4 linked regions of the Canis lupus familiaris genome follow. The main gene of each other region encodes a partner of the protein of the gene in region 2 in a complex. Links are inferred from orthologs where the notes say so. Each region holds a gene or a part of one and is shown on either strand. Other genes may lie near its edges. The genes, in order: WTAP, CBLL1, RBM15 and METTL14.

Region 1 (2,413 bases), on a different chromosome or scaffold from region 2:
TATGTTTACATATAGTAAGAGCTAACAACTATCACTTTGAAAAGGTACTTTAAAAGGTATTCTAACCGATCTTTACAATTGTCAAATATATTCATTTTCAATTTAATTTCCAGAGTTCAGGTATTTTAGTTACTAATCATCTTCCTCAAATTCAGTTACACTTGCCCAAGAAAAGGCGGGTGGGGTGGGCGGAGGAAGCAGCTGACAATTAAATTCAGTTTATCTTGAACAAATTTAAATATCACATCTTGAGGCAGCCCTGGTGGCTCAGCGGTTTAGAGCTGCCTTCAGCCCAGGATGTGATCCTGGAGACCCGGGATCAAGGCCCACGTCGGGTTCCCTGCATGGAGCCTGCTTCTCTCTCTGCCTGTGTCTCTGCTTCTCTCTCTGTGTCTTCCATGAATAAATAAATAAAATCTTAAATAATAAATAAATAAATATCACATCTTATTCACTCAATAGGACCTTAACAGGTACAATCAATTCTGATTTCTAGACCACAAGAAATAGCCAAATACTGCCAAGATTTACACTTGGAAAGTGATTAAATGGAGATAATCCCTTTTAAATATTGAATATAAATGTGTATATGTATGCAGTGCCTTCTTTCACCAAATTGCACCTCCCCCAAAAATCCAAAAACTTATGAAATTTGCACAATAAACAAGAAAGTCGCGGGGGGGGGGGGGGAGGGGGGGCACTAAAATGGCTTTGCTGACTCAACTAGAAATGTTCCATTAATAATTTTATAGAATCATCAGCACAAATTAGTACATACAGAATCTAATCTGTAATATTCATGCCTGGCAACTTTTTAAAAGCCAGTGCAAAGTTAATCAAACTTTTCAAAAAACCCCTTACCATCCTGACTGCTTTTAAGCTCCTCACTATATTTCTTCTGTAAAGCCAACTCTGCTTCAAGTTGTGCAATACGTCCCTGGGACAGCTGCCTTCCAAGCTCTTGATTCTCCTGGATAAGCATTCGACACTTCGCCATTAACTTTTTGCCTGTTTGGCTGCAAAGGAAAGAGCCATCCATCACAAAATGAAGACAAGTGTCTATAACCTTGTTTGCTTGCAATTATTACAGCAATAGATGTAACACGTACAGAATATAACTGTCACGGCAGATGCCTCCCCTATAATTACCATCTTCTGTCCTGGAACACGTCCATCTTCTGCATTTCAGTATTTTGCCAATACAGCAGCAAAAATAAACCCTAAACAAAAAGTACCCAAATGGCCACATTTTCTATTACACTAATAAGGATTCTGATCTCTATTTTCACCCCTAATTATTATTTGAAATGGAAACAAGCCAGTTAATTAAGGCAAGCCTCATATATACCAGTATTAATAAAACACTAAGGTACTCAGTTTCATGGAACAGAAAAGTTCTTAAAAAGGTAAATGTGATAACATAGAATATATTTATTTTTGCTAAAGCAGCATTTTATAAGAGTGCCTATTCATAGGCAGTTCTCAGAAGGATGTTTATTGCAGTGAGGCATATACTCAGTAATTGTTTTTAGAAACTTTTAATAGATTTTTTTTTTAAGCAATCTATACATTCAACATGGGGTTTGAACTCATAACCCTAACTAAGATCAAGAGTGGCATGCTCTACTGACTGAGCCAGCCAGGCATCCCTAAAGAGCCTTTTAAAAAAGAGCCTTTAGACTATTTCTATCCACTAAGCTCTAATTTAACTTTTTTAAGCTTTAAGCTGTCGTAATGGTAACAAGTTTTTAAAAATTTAATATCAATACGTGGTTAAGATTTTATTCATGTTACAAAAGATTATCTTTAGAAAAGTGAGATTTGGGTTATTACAAATAATGCAAATATTTAAGTATCTGCACGGGAGCAGATATTGGGAGCACCAAACTTTCCACAAATTAGTTACCAAGTATTAGTGCAATCTTCTAAAGTGTGTACACACACATACACAGCAAGTGCAAAAATGTAATCAGTCTTAACAACAGTTCTCAATAAAACAACTTCTTTAGCCTCAATAAGTAATAAGAGAAATGATCACTTTTAAAGGGATCTGATTTAAGCACATAATTGTGAGGTTACCTGATACTTGAATAGGGACAGCCTGGTATTTTTTTAAAGTGTATTTAAGTAGGTTCTATATCCAAAGTGGTCCTTGAACTCACGACCCCAAGATCGAGTTGCACACTCCACCAGGGACAGTCTGATATCCTCATGATGGTGTTAACATTCAGAAAGATCTAACCAGTCAAAAAAATTTTTTGCTGACACTTTCTGTTCTTTCCTCCATTTATTGGGGCTTTCACTTGCCTGATGTATTACTTCAGAATGCATCTGAACCTATTGTAAGCCTTCAGTCTTAAAAGGAGAGCATTTTATAAATGATTCTCATTCCTTGACTCAGTGCTGTTGTTTT
Region 2 (4,075 bases):
GTTGTAAGTTCCAGCTCCAGGTTGGGTGCAGAGCTTACTTTAAAAATAAAATCTTTTAAAAACAGAAAAGGAGCAGCAGGGATATCTGAGTAGGAACTAATTTTTTAAGTGGTCAGATCATTTGTGAATATTTTCATGCCAGGATGACTCTTACTTTCTGGTCAACATTTTAACTTGGAGAACTAGGATAATACTCAGAGACACACCCAGCCACACTACAACTTCCTAACATACTATCCTCTAAACTGTGGAAGGCGCTTCACTCTCAATTCTAGTAAGGGGCTGTAATGAGAAGTGTTTTGCTGAAGTTGCATGTTTACTACTCTAACACCAAGGTCCCAGATCTCAATTCTACAAAATTTCCAAAACCAGAGTTCCTTACAGCCCGGTTCTTGGCCCTCTTCTTCTCTGTATTCTTGTTCTTTGAGTGATCTCATCCATCCCCATTCCTTAAAACAACAGCTACCTGCTCATAAGTCTCAAATACATATTTTTCAACCCAGATCTTTCCTCTGATCTCCACTTGACATCTCCCCTTATATATCCTCGTACACAGCTCATCCTTTGCAGCCAAAAATCTCATTCTCAAGTTCCCAAGTCTCCCTTTACCACTTAAAAAAAAGACGTCTGTTTTCCTCCCAAGTTTTCCCCAACTTAGTAACGGGCACTGCCTAGCTGCTCAAACCAGAAAGGTAGTCATCTCTCCTTTCTCTCACAAAGCTCCTATTTGAATTCCACCACAACATTCGATATGCCCACTCCCCTTTTCTTTAAACCGAACCAACTTCATTACCGAGCCTCTCTTAGTGTTCTACTGCAATCACCATCTAAACTATTTTCTATCAGTCTTGTCTCTCACACCATTCTCCACAAACAAGTTACTGTGTTTTTAAAAGAAATTATGTTCCTCCTGTACTCCTGCTCAATGGCTTCAGGGATCCCCAGGTGGCTCAGCAGTTTGGCACCTGCCTTCAGCCCAGGGCGTGATCCTGGAGTCCCAGGATTGAGTCTCACATCGGGCTCCCTGCATGGAGCCTGCTTCTCCCTCAGCCTGTGCCTCTGCCTCTCTGTCTCTCATGAATAAATAAATAAAATCTTTAAAAAATAAAATAAAATCTTTACCACGGCCTTCAAAGTCCTGTACCATCTGACTCCCACCGTCCCTTCCAATCTCTTAGGGCTCATTGCTTCTTGCTAAGCTGTAGCTGACTGACCTCTACGTTTTCCTTCCTCAGAGTCTTCATATTTGCTAGACACGCTTTACTCCTGATTAATTCCATGCAGGGATTCTTCTCATCTATCATATCTCAGCTTAGAAATCCAGAAAGACCCTCCCTGACCACTCTCTCTGAAGCCTCCTCCTTTAGTCTTTACCACAGACGCTGTTAATTTTTTTTCCAAGCGCTCATCATGATCTGTAATGCTTAGGTTAAAAAACAACAACAACAACAAAAACTTCTCTATCGTGTCTTTCCCAACAGAATGTAATCTCCATGAGGCCAGGAACGCAGTTGGCCTGGTTTCCAAGTCCATCATTCCCTCTCTAGGCATACTGGGGTCTGGCATAGGTTTTGCTGACTAGCACTCACTAAATTTTATAGACAGAAATAATTTTACGCCTATATGTACAAAATTAAGTAGGCATTTGATGACTGAGAACACCTTACCCAATACTTAATACAAGAAGTATCCTTTTATCCTACTTAGGATATGGCTGATGGAACCACACGGAACAGCAGCCCCAGGTTCACTCACTCACTATCCAAAAGCCACGATGAAAAAAAAAAAGCCAAACAACACACAACGAAGAGCGGAGTCCTTCTTACTTGGAGAAAGAGATGCGGGTATCTTGAATTTAAGCTCTCCTTTGTAAACGCCCCCGAAAGAGGAGTAAGGACCACAGCCGAAGCGCGGAGCAGGCTTTGGGCTCAGACAGAAAAGCCGGTCCGAGCAGGATTCCGAAAACTCTCACCTGGCTCCCCGCTCCGCCTCGGGTCCACGAAGGACCGGCAGCGCCCCCCGCAGCGCCCGCCCGCAGCCCCCTCCCGCGCCCCGACCCTGAGCCTGGAGTCTGCCCGCCGGCACCCGAAACGCAGAGCGGGGCACCACGGTTTAAAAAGAAAAAAAAAAAAAAAAAAGGAGGCAGCGCGCCCCGGTCCCCACGAGGCCGCGCCGCCCACCGTGCGGGCGGGGAGCTCCGCAGCACCAGAGCGGCGGCTGCTGCCGGCACCGAGGCTGTAGGTACCACACCGGAGGGTAGGCCGGGAAACGGCAGGCCCTTGCCGGGCACCGGGAGGGGTCTGTGGGATTTCTCTCTCACCGCCACCCCCCAGCGCTGCAGGGCGAGCGCATCCCCGCTCCGCCCGCCGGGCAGCCAGTCCCAGGCCGGCCGAGGGGGCATGGACCCGGGACCCCCGCTGCCTCCGCCTCCTTACCAGTGTGATCCATGATTCGGCTCGCGGGGCACAGTGGGAGCGGAAGTCAACCGCGCCGGAGTCGCAGGGCGCGCGTGCGCGCTCCCTTCCGGAGCCCGCGAGGCGGAAGTGCGACCGAGCTGCCTCGGCTTGGGCCTCCTCAGGTTCCCCTCTGTCGGGTGGGTGCACTACCCAACTCCGGTGAGGGCGTCTGGCATAGTTCGAGGGAGACAAAGGGGGGTACGCCAAGAGCTTCCAGGTCGAAGGTGCTAAGCCTTGACTACAGAAATGAGACCCGAGGGCACGGGGGAACGGGGAGAGCACCAGCAGCCGGTGGAACGAACTCGCGGCAGGTAAGGCGGCTGCTCGCCCCCGCGGAGCGTTGCCTTCTGGGACTTGTAGTGCGCGGCGGCCTCGGAGCCGGCCGGGCGCAACTGCGCAGACTCGGCCGTTGGGCTTGGCCCCACCCCGGCGGGCGGAGTAACGGTTTGGAATGGCCCGCAGTGCGCGCGCGCCGGCGTCCTCCGCGCGGGGCGGGGGGGGGGGGCGTGCGGGGAGCGGGGGGGGTGCGTAGCCGCGCGCGCTCCGGAAGGCGTCCTCGGCGGGAGGTTGCCCGGGGGACGGCCGCGCCGTGGGAGCGGGGAGGGCTCTCGGCGTGCGGTCTCCATCCCGCCCCGTCCTGGCGGGCCCCGCGGAGCGCACGTGGTACCGGCCCGTGCTCCCACCGAGGAGGTGTGGTAGCGGCGGAGACGCAGCAAGGCGCCCCGCGCGCCCCTCCGCGGGGTGGGGGTGGGGGCGGGGCGGGGCCGCCCGGCGGGGGAGCGGGGGAGCGCGGGGAGCGCGGGGCCCGGGGGGAGGGGCAGCGGGGCGGTACCTAGCTCCAGCTCCTGGTCGCCGGGGGTCGCGGCCGCGGCTGCCTTCATCGTCCCCGGCCAGCGCCGCGGAGTGGGTCCGGGGGCCCCTGAGCGAGGCGGCGGCGGCCTCGCCGACCGGGCTCCGGGTGTGCGCTCCCTTCTCCGACCCTTCGCACCTGGTGCTCTCGGAGGAGTGGGAAGGAGCGCACGATTAAGGAGAAAACACGAGCCTGGGAGCCCAGGGATTTGGGTTCTATTCCTGTCGTCCCTTGGTGACGACATCGTTACCTTGGGTGGTTCACGCTTTCCGTGCCAGAGTTCCTGGATCGATAGAAGAAGATGATGATGATGATTCTCCTGCCCTCCTCCCAGGAGCGTTCTCCGGCCCCGAATCCTGGAGGGAGCGCGTGCGGCGGTGCGCTGGGCCGGTAGTGCTGCAGCGACATCGGCGTGGAGTCCTCGGGAGCGGAACCTTGAGTGCTCCGCGCTCGCCGGTGGATGGAGGTTCTCCTGGGGCCTTTAAAGATTGTACTTGTTCATGAGACACAGAGAGAGAGACCTAGGCAGAGGGAGAAGCAGGCTCCCTGCAGGGGACCCCCCCACACACCCTAAGATCACGACCTGAGCCAAAGCAAAGGCAGATGCTCAACCACCCGAACCAGCCAGGTGCCCCTTCCTGGGGTCTTGAAATACACTTCCCCGCGGCATCTGAAGCTTCCTAAACAAGTTTTTCGGTACAGTTACAGCCAAGGGGAATTGTGAATCAGACTTAACCCTTGCTTTTGTTGAAAGGTAAATTTCTGTATC
Region 3 (4,000 bases), on a different chromosome or scaffold from region 2:
GTGATCTTGAGCTGGGCTACTTTGCCTCCAGTTGAGCCCTCCACAAGAAGACTACTAGCCACTTGGAGGTCACCCTGCAACAGATGCATGTTGGAAGGAAAGTTGCTGTTCTTCAATAGAAGCATGCCCTGCCAGGCCAAACAGAGCTTGGGAGAGGCTGCAGTGGTGGGGGCTGTCCCACCATCCTGTTTCTGGGAAGGGGACTTCAGCTTTGAGGAAGCAGTGCTGGTGCTAGGCGCACTCCCATCAGACCGGTCTTCTTTTTTCAGAGGGCTTTTTCCCTCAGTGGGAGCAGTTGTCCGGTGCTTTCTATCCCGTTCAGCTGATGCAGAGTTTTTACGGTCTCGCTTGTCACCCTGGCTCTTCTCCAAACTTCCTCGCCTGTCTCTGACTGGAGAGGGCCTTTCCAAGATAAGAAGACGAGAAGATCGATCATTGTCACTGTTGTAGCGATCCCGGCTACTGCTCAATTCCGGGCTGCGGTCGGGAGAAGGAGCACAGTGACGTTTTCGGGGACGGTCACTCTCAGGGGACCTATCCAGGTGCCGGCCCCCACTCTCCTCGGGCGGCCTTCGCTTCCTAGGCTGGTCTCTGCTGCTGGGCAGATCTCGCTCACCTCTGTCCCGGTCCAAGGACCAGCCATCTCGCCTGCGATCCAGGCTATCCAGGGGCTCGTAAGCAGGCACAGCAGCAGCTGCAGTCCTAGTGCTGCGTTCACGAACTGGGGGCGGGGGTGGCACCCAGTCAGAGTCAGGATAAAGGTCTCTGTCACGATCTCTGTAGAGTAAGGGTGGTGTCCTATCCCGAGCACCCCTCAAAGGGTCAGGTGCCCGATGTCCAAAAGCATCTGTCACCAACTCGTAATGAGTTAAGGGCAAAGGCTGCAGATACTGCTGCTGGTAACGATGTTCTGTATCTGCAAAGTCTACTCTAAGGCGACGATCTGGGCCACCAAGTGGGAAGCCACGCATATGGGTCCAGGCAGCATGAGCTGCATCCAGGCTTTCATACTGGATATATGCCCAACTATCACCTTTGCGGTAGTCTATAGTGCGGATGGTGCCAAATCGGTCAAACTCTCGTGCCAGGGCAGCAAGAGGCACCCAAGGTCCCAGACCACCTACCCAGAGGCGAGTGGTGGGTGTAGCTTTACCATAACCAATTTTGATAGGATTCCGAATAATGATCTTGCCAGACATTGCTAGTTTGGCCCGGTGAGACATGTCTAGGTTCTCAAATTTAAGGAAGCCATAGGTACTGGTCTGGCCCCGAGAGGGCCTCTTGATATCTACCTCTGTGATGACTCCAAAGCGGTCAAAAGCCCTTCTTAGGTCACTCTCTGTCACAGTGATGTCTAGGTTGCCCAAGAAAAGCGTCCGGTTAGCTCGCTGATCGTCCTCGGGTGAGATCTCATCCACTTCTCGGAAAGGAGCAGCACCTGCTCCAGCTCCCACCCTGGGCTCCAGGCTGTACGCCGGGCGCACTCTCTCATAGAACGGATAGTCTCGCTCTCTCTCCAGCTCACGGGGCAACGGTGGCGGAGGCGGGGGGGGCAGGCGGCCAAGAGCCAGCTGCTGCAACCGGTAGTCTCGGTACCCCAGGGCCGCGCCACCAGGGGAAAGCGATCTCTGGCCGCCGCCTCCAGGGGGGTGCCGGTGTCCGCCCACGGAGGCGCCCACCACGCCAGCCGACGGCGGGTAGGGATCCTTGTCTAAGGGGGAGCGGCTGCGGCGGCGGCTCACGTACACCGCCTCGATCTTCAGCGGCCGGTCATAGAGCACCAGGCGGCCTCTGGCATGCTTGGCCGCCCGCGCGTCCTCTGGCCGCCGGAAGTTCACAAAGGCTACTCGCTCATCCCCGCTGCCAGAGCCCGAGAGATGACTGATTTTGACACTTACATCACCGAAGCGCTTGAACTCGTGAAACAGTCCGTCCTCCACCGCCTCGTCACTCAGCTGGGACCCCAACTCGCTGATCTTCAGCGTCTTGTACTCCGCGCCGTCCCCAACGCCGGGAGCTGAGGAGGCGGCCCCGGAGGAACGTGACTCCCCGCCTCCACCCCGGGAGCTGCTGCGCGACTCGCCCCCGCCCGAGGAATTTTTGGTGCTCGGGGAGCTGTAACTGTGCAGGCGGCCACTGGAGCTGCCCCCGCCGGTGTCATACTCGCGGCTGCCGCCTCGGCTGCTGGACTTGTCCAGGTGGAGGCTGCGCCGCGACCCGCCGCCGCTGTCGGTCTTTCCGCTGCTACTCCCATTGCTGCCACCAGAGCCCCCTAACTTCTTGCTCCGCTCCCCGCGGGAAGTCGAGTCCTCACCACCGCGGGAGCGTTTGGGCTTGACCGGAGAGCGCTCCTTCCCCTTCATTGTTGCGGGTCGCCGGAGGTCGTCTCCGCGGAGATGCTGAGCCCGCCGCCCCGCGCTCGTTTCACACAGCGGAACCGCACGCCGCCATCTTGGACTCCGCCGCGGCAGAGGCTCCCGCCCCGCGGCCCTCATTGGTCAGCTGGCTCCTCTCTGCTACAGGCTCATTGGGAAAACGTCCCGTCCGTCTTCACATCTCCCCGCGCTCCGGAAAGGCGCCCGCCCGCCCGCTGTTATTGGGCTCCCAACGCCCGGGTCCGAGTACCTCATTGGTCGTATTTGTTGTCCATCTTAACGGCTCCTCGCGCCAGGCCGCAGCTCCGCCCCTCGCACTGTAGGGTCACCTGACCCAAACTCGGGAGGCGCTGATTGGGCGAAAAGTCTGCCCTGTAACGGTACTTCTGGCGCGGTAAAAGCGGTGATCCCACCTCCTCATTCCTTTCATTGGTTTCCGACCCCGTCCTTTAACTCACTATTTGGGAAGTCGGGCCATCTGTTCTGGCGCTTTTCCTGAGAGGCCCGCTTACAACATTCTCGCGAGAGACAGAAAGCGCTCCCTTTCTCGACCTCTTCTTCCAACTCCTCGGACGGCTGTAAGAAGTTTAAATCTGATTGGATGCTGACGAGGGAGTTGATAGGCTGAAATAGCTGTCCGTCATCCGCTTAAAGGGGCAGGCCGTACACGGAGGAGGCTGACTGAAGGTGAAAGAGCGGACCGCGCGCTCGCCGTGCGGCGTCACCGGGACGTCGCGAGAGGCTGACACGGCGCTGGCTCCGCCCCCGGCCGCTCGCGGCGTTCCGTCCACGGGCATTTACGGGGCACTTATGGGGTCCCGCGGCGTCCGTGGGTGTGCCTGGGCCGCCCGCTCGGGGCCTGTGCGGGGACCGAGCCCTCGGGGCGCGGTCCCCAGGAGGCCGGCCGCGGCAGCCGGAGAGCGCCGCAGGCCGTGGGGCTCGCCCGGGCCGGCCTCCTGGGCGCTCCCCGCCGCCCGGCGACGTCGGTCGGTTCGCTCTTCCTACGTCGCGCCCCGTCACCGGGCGAGGGCCGACGTCCGCGTGCAGCCGTGGGCGTGCGCCCCGCGGCTCCTCGCGCCGCCTCGCCGACCCCCCGGGGCCCGCCCGTCGTGAGGTGAGTCCGGCAGCCGGAGCAGGTGCTCGGGCGTCGGGGGAGGGGGGGAGGGGGGGCCAGGAAGCCCGGGCCGGCCCTCCCCGCCGCCTACCCGCCTACCCCGAGGCCCTTCTCGGGGGACACGGCTGTTGCCCGAACCCGAGCTTGGGAGCCGCGTCAGGGCCGGGGCTGCAGAGTCCGGCTCTGCCTTCGCCCCCCTTCCCCGCATGACGTCGAGGGAAGCGATAGGGATTTCGCTTCTTGCTCGGATGGAGGAAGCCTGGTGTGAGGACGTCGCGGCAGCGGGCGCACGCTCCCCCGCGTGCCAGGACCAGCTGCCAAAGCCCGCGAGTGGGCCAGGGTGTGGGACGTACTGCCGCGGGGGGTTCTCCACGGGACATGGCGGCGGCGCTGCCTGTGTTTTTGTTGATTTTTCCATAGAAACTTCACGGCGGTACTTAGGGAGTGGCCACTAAGATCGCCCTGAGACGGGGCTGGACGGTCTGGCGGGAGACTCAGCTTGTCATTGCAT
Region 4 (3,081 bases), on a different chromosome or scaffold from region 2:
AACAGATGGAATTTTTGTTTTTTGTTGTGTTTTTTTTCAGAGGTAGAGATTTGTACGGAAATAGATACTATAGTGATAACTTTTTTTTTTAACTCAAATGAAATTGTCATGAAAGGCATTAATGAGAAATGTGACTGGAAAGGTAGTTCAATGGGACACCTGGGTAGCTCAGCAGTTGAGCATCTGCCTTAGGCTCAGGGTATGATCCCGGAGTCTGAGATCAAGTCCCGCAGTAGGCTCCCTGTGAGGATCCTGCTTCTCCCCCTGCCTATGCCTCTGCTTCTCTCTGTGTGTCTCTCATGAATAAATAAATAAATAAATAATTTTTTTAAAAGAAAGTTATTTCAAGCTGCATCATAAAAGACCTTAGATAACATATACATGAATCTGTGCTTTGTGGAGAGCCCTAGAAGGTTACGCAGAGAAGTGACATATTTTAAGGTTTGTTTTAGGCTTTCCACTTTCAGGGAGGAGAGGCTGGGAGAGCATTACAATATGTATGTGTGTCTGTGACATGTACAGGAGGCTGGCCTAGTAGAAAAATAAAGGCTCACATTTGAGGGTGGCAATAGACATGGAAAAATGGGAATGAATAGGAGCAACATGGTAGTGGTTGAATTTCTGGCACCTGTCAGCAGGGTTAATGTTGTGGTTCGGAAGAGTAGAGGCAAAGTTGGTTCCAGGATCTTAATCAGAAAACAATGGTATTATTTTCCCAAGTAGGAAGGTAAGCGAAGTTTATTACATTTTCACTGAGCCCAAACTCACTGTAGTGTGTAATGTTTTTTCTAAGTGCTAGTCTTACAAAATGTGAAACATGGATGGAGACAATGAGGAAGATATATTACAAAGTTACAATCATGCAGGTGAAATAAGATATATACATATGAAATCTGTATAACCATGATTAAATGCCATGTGTTGTAAAAAAGATAAATATTGAGTGAGTGATAGGGGGAACTTTAAAAATACTTTAGAAATTTGAAGTAGCTCCGAAAGGATCAGTAAGAGAAATGAGGGGGAAAAAAGATAATCTTTCTTTCCGTCTATTTCAGGCTGGCTTACAGTTGGACCAACCCTTACAAATAGCAACTATAATGCAGAAACATATGCATCCTACTTTAGTGCTCCTAATTCCTACTTGACTGGATGTACAGAAGAAATTGAGAGACTTCGACCAAAATCACCTCCTCCCAAATCTAAGTCTGATCGGGGAGGTGGAGCTCCCAGGGGTGGAGGAAGAGGTGGAACTTCTGCTGGCCGTGGACGAGAAAGAAATCGATCTAACTTCCGAGGCGAAAGAGGTGGCTTTAGGGGGGGCCGTGGAGGAGCACACAGAGGTGGCTTTCCACCTCGATAACTTTGTAAGACCGTGATCTATTCATGCCCCTATACCTTCTTTACCGTAGTTTAAATTCCAAATGGGAGGCTTTGTTTAGTACTCAATTCCAGCTTGCATTTTGCTTTAGTTTCTTTGAGCTGCAGGAATATTTTAGCCAATCTCCCTTGCAGTCATTACACACATTGTGTAGTCTTGTCCAGGATAAACAAATCATCCTGCCTTTGGTTATGTGCATGTAACTGAATAATGAACAAATACCTTCCTTTCAGAGACTAATTTATTCTGATAGATTCCAACTAATTACAAAGTCTTTTGCTTTTTAGAAATAATTTAACTGAACAGTGAAAAAGACCCAGTCTGTAGTATGCTACTAGTGCCAAGAGCATTTGATAATAGGCATCCTGCCATTGCTGTCATAGTAAATAGAAAGCTGTTTGGGAGCCTTGAGAGAATGGAGTTGGGACAGATGGTTAACTTCTGTCAAAGTTTTAATATTTTCTTGGTGAAACAATAAAAAGAGACTTCTTTTTAAAAAATCTTAAACTCAGATATGACTACCACTGAGAAATTGAGAGAATTTGAACAAAATCACCTCCCAAATCTAAATCTGTTAGAGGAGGTTGGCACTCCCAGCAGTGGGCAGAGGAAGAATTTAGTAGGTAGCCTTAAAGAGAAAAAGCTCATCATAATTTGAGTTGCATAGTTCCAGATGACTGTTAATCACACTTCTTCAGAAGCAAAGGACAAATATCCAAGTGCTAGACCTTTGGTGTAGACTTGAACTTGGATTGACTTTCAAAACAGTTTCATATTCCTTAGCAAAGTAAAAGAAATTAGGCAACAACAGAGACACCTGGTTATCAGGTGTTTTGGAAAATAAAGTACTTGGTGGTGAGGAAGTGATATCTTTGAACTTGTTATGGAGAAAACAATATAAAAATCAATTACAGAAAACTCAAATTAAGACAGCTTAGAAAACAGAATTGCAATTGCCTTTTATTAAAACCATATGGTGTGTTGTTTTTAAGAGCCTGGTTTTGCAGATCAGTTGGTTGTATAAAACTTAATGCTGTCATTTTTCTCTCTGTACTATAATTCATGTTTTAAATGAATCTGATGAATGAAATACCCTTATTCTTGAAAAATATATTTTTATTTGGTGTATGATTTTTCTAATGAAACTTTAAACCTTTGAAATGTGGGAGTCTGTTTTCTGTAAGTGAAATTGCCTTTGTTAACCTAATGAAAAAGGACTGACTTAAGATCACTCCTGTTTTGATCTGTGAGCATTTTAGTAGCCATTCTCAACTTGTCATTGGCTCATATTATACCTAAAATAAGATTATATTACATGCACTGAAGACTCAGTTTGAAGATTAGGGCTGAATTATAGAAATAGGGTTGAGATCCTTAAAAGCCTGATGAATTTAACTTGCTCAACCTGTTCGTTCTTTCTAGTACAAATACCATTTGATGCCTTTTTTTTTTTTTAAGATTTTATTTATTCATTCATAGACAGAGAGAGAGAGGCAGAGACACAGGCAGAGGGAGAGGGAGAAGCAGGCTCCATGCAGGGAGCCCGATGTGGGACTCGATCCCAGGTCCCCAGGATCACACCCCAGGCTGCAGGCAGCGCCAAACCGCTGTGCCACCAGGGCTACCCGCGTTTTTTTTTTTTTTTTTTTTTTTTTAAAGATTTTATTTATTTATTCATGAGAGACACAGAGAGACAGAGAGGC

What was found.
Region 1: CBLL1 (region 2) and WTAP share a complex: the UniProt entries of both Homo sapiens proteins name them as parts of the WMM complex. The link is inferred for Canis lupus familiaris from reciprocal best matches to the Homo sapiens genes CBLL1 and WTAP.
Region 3: CBLL1 (region 2) and RBM15 share a complex: the UniProt entries of both Homo sapiens proteins name them as parts of the WMM complex. The link is inferred for Canis lupus familiaris from reciprocal best matches to the Homo sapiens genes CBLL1 and RBM15.
Region 4: CBLL1 (region 2) and METTL14 share a complex: the UniProt entries of both Homo sapiens proteins name them as parts of the WMM complex. The link is inferred for Canis lupus familiaris from reciprocal best matches to the Homo sapiens genes CBLL1 and METTL14.

What each region holds. Positions count from the first base shown.
Region 1 is NC_049222.1:49,504,287-49,506,699, reverse strand, and holds part of WTAP (pre-mRNA-splicing regulator WTAP), read right to left. Parts: intron 1,017-2,413; coding exon 862-1,016; intron 1-861. UniProt on the Homo sapiens protein: Associated component of the WMM complex, a complex that mediates N6-methyladenosine (m6A) methylation of RNAs, a modification that plays a role in the efficiency of mRNA splicing and RNA processing.
Region 2 is NC_049239.1:13,103,193-13,107,267, forward strand, and holds the start of CBLL1 (E3 ubiquitin-protein ligase Hakai), read right to left. Parts: upstream 2,823-4,075; 5' UTR 2,449-2,822; coding exon 2,436-2,448; intron 2,309-2,435; exon of another isoform or gene 2,181-2,308; intron 1,991-2,180; exon of another isoform or gene 1,827-1,990; intron 1,800-1,826; exon of another isoform or gene 1,668-1,799; intron 1-1,667. UniProt on the Homo sapiens protein: E3 ubiquitin-protein ligase that mediates ubiquitination of several tyrosine-phosphorylated Src substrates, including CDH1, CTTN and DOK1. Targets CDH1 for endocytosis and degradation.
Region 3 is NC_049227.1:42,108,045-42,112,044, forward strand, and holds the start of RBM15 (RNA-binding protein 15), read right to left. Parts: upstream 2,828-4,000; 5' UTR 2,496-2,827; coding exon 1-2,495. UniProt on the Homo sapiens protein: RNA-binding protein that acts as a key regulator of N6-methyladenosine (m6A) methylation of RNAs, thereby regulating different processes, such as hematopoietic cell homeostasis, alternative splicing of mRNAs and X chromosome inactivation mediated by Xist RNA.
Region 4 is NC_049253.1:2,153,885-2,156,965, reverse strand, and holds the end of METTL14 (N6-adenosine-methyltransferase non-catalytic subunit), read left to right. Parts: intron 1-1,055; coding exon 1,056-1,360; 3' UTR 1,361-2,539; downstream 2,540-3,081. UniProt on the Homo sapiens protein: The METTL3-METTL14 heterodimer forms a N6-methyltransferase complex that methylates adenosine residues at the N(6) position of some mRNAs and regulates the circadian clock, differentiation of embryonic stem cells and cortical neurogenesis.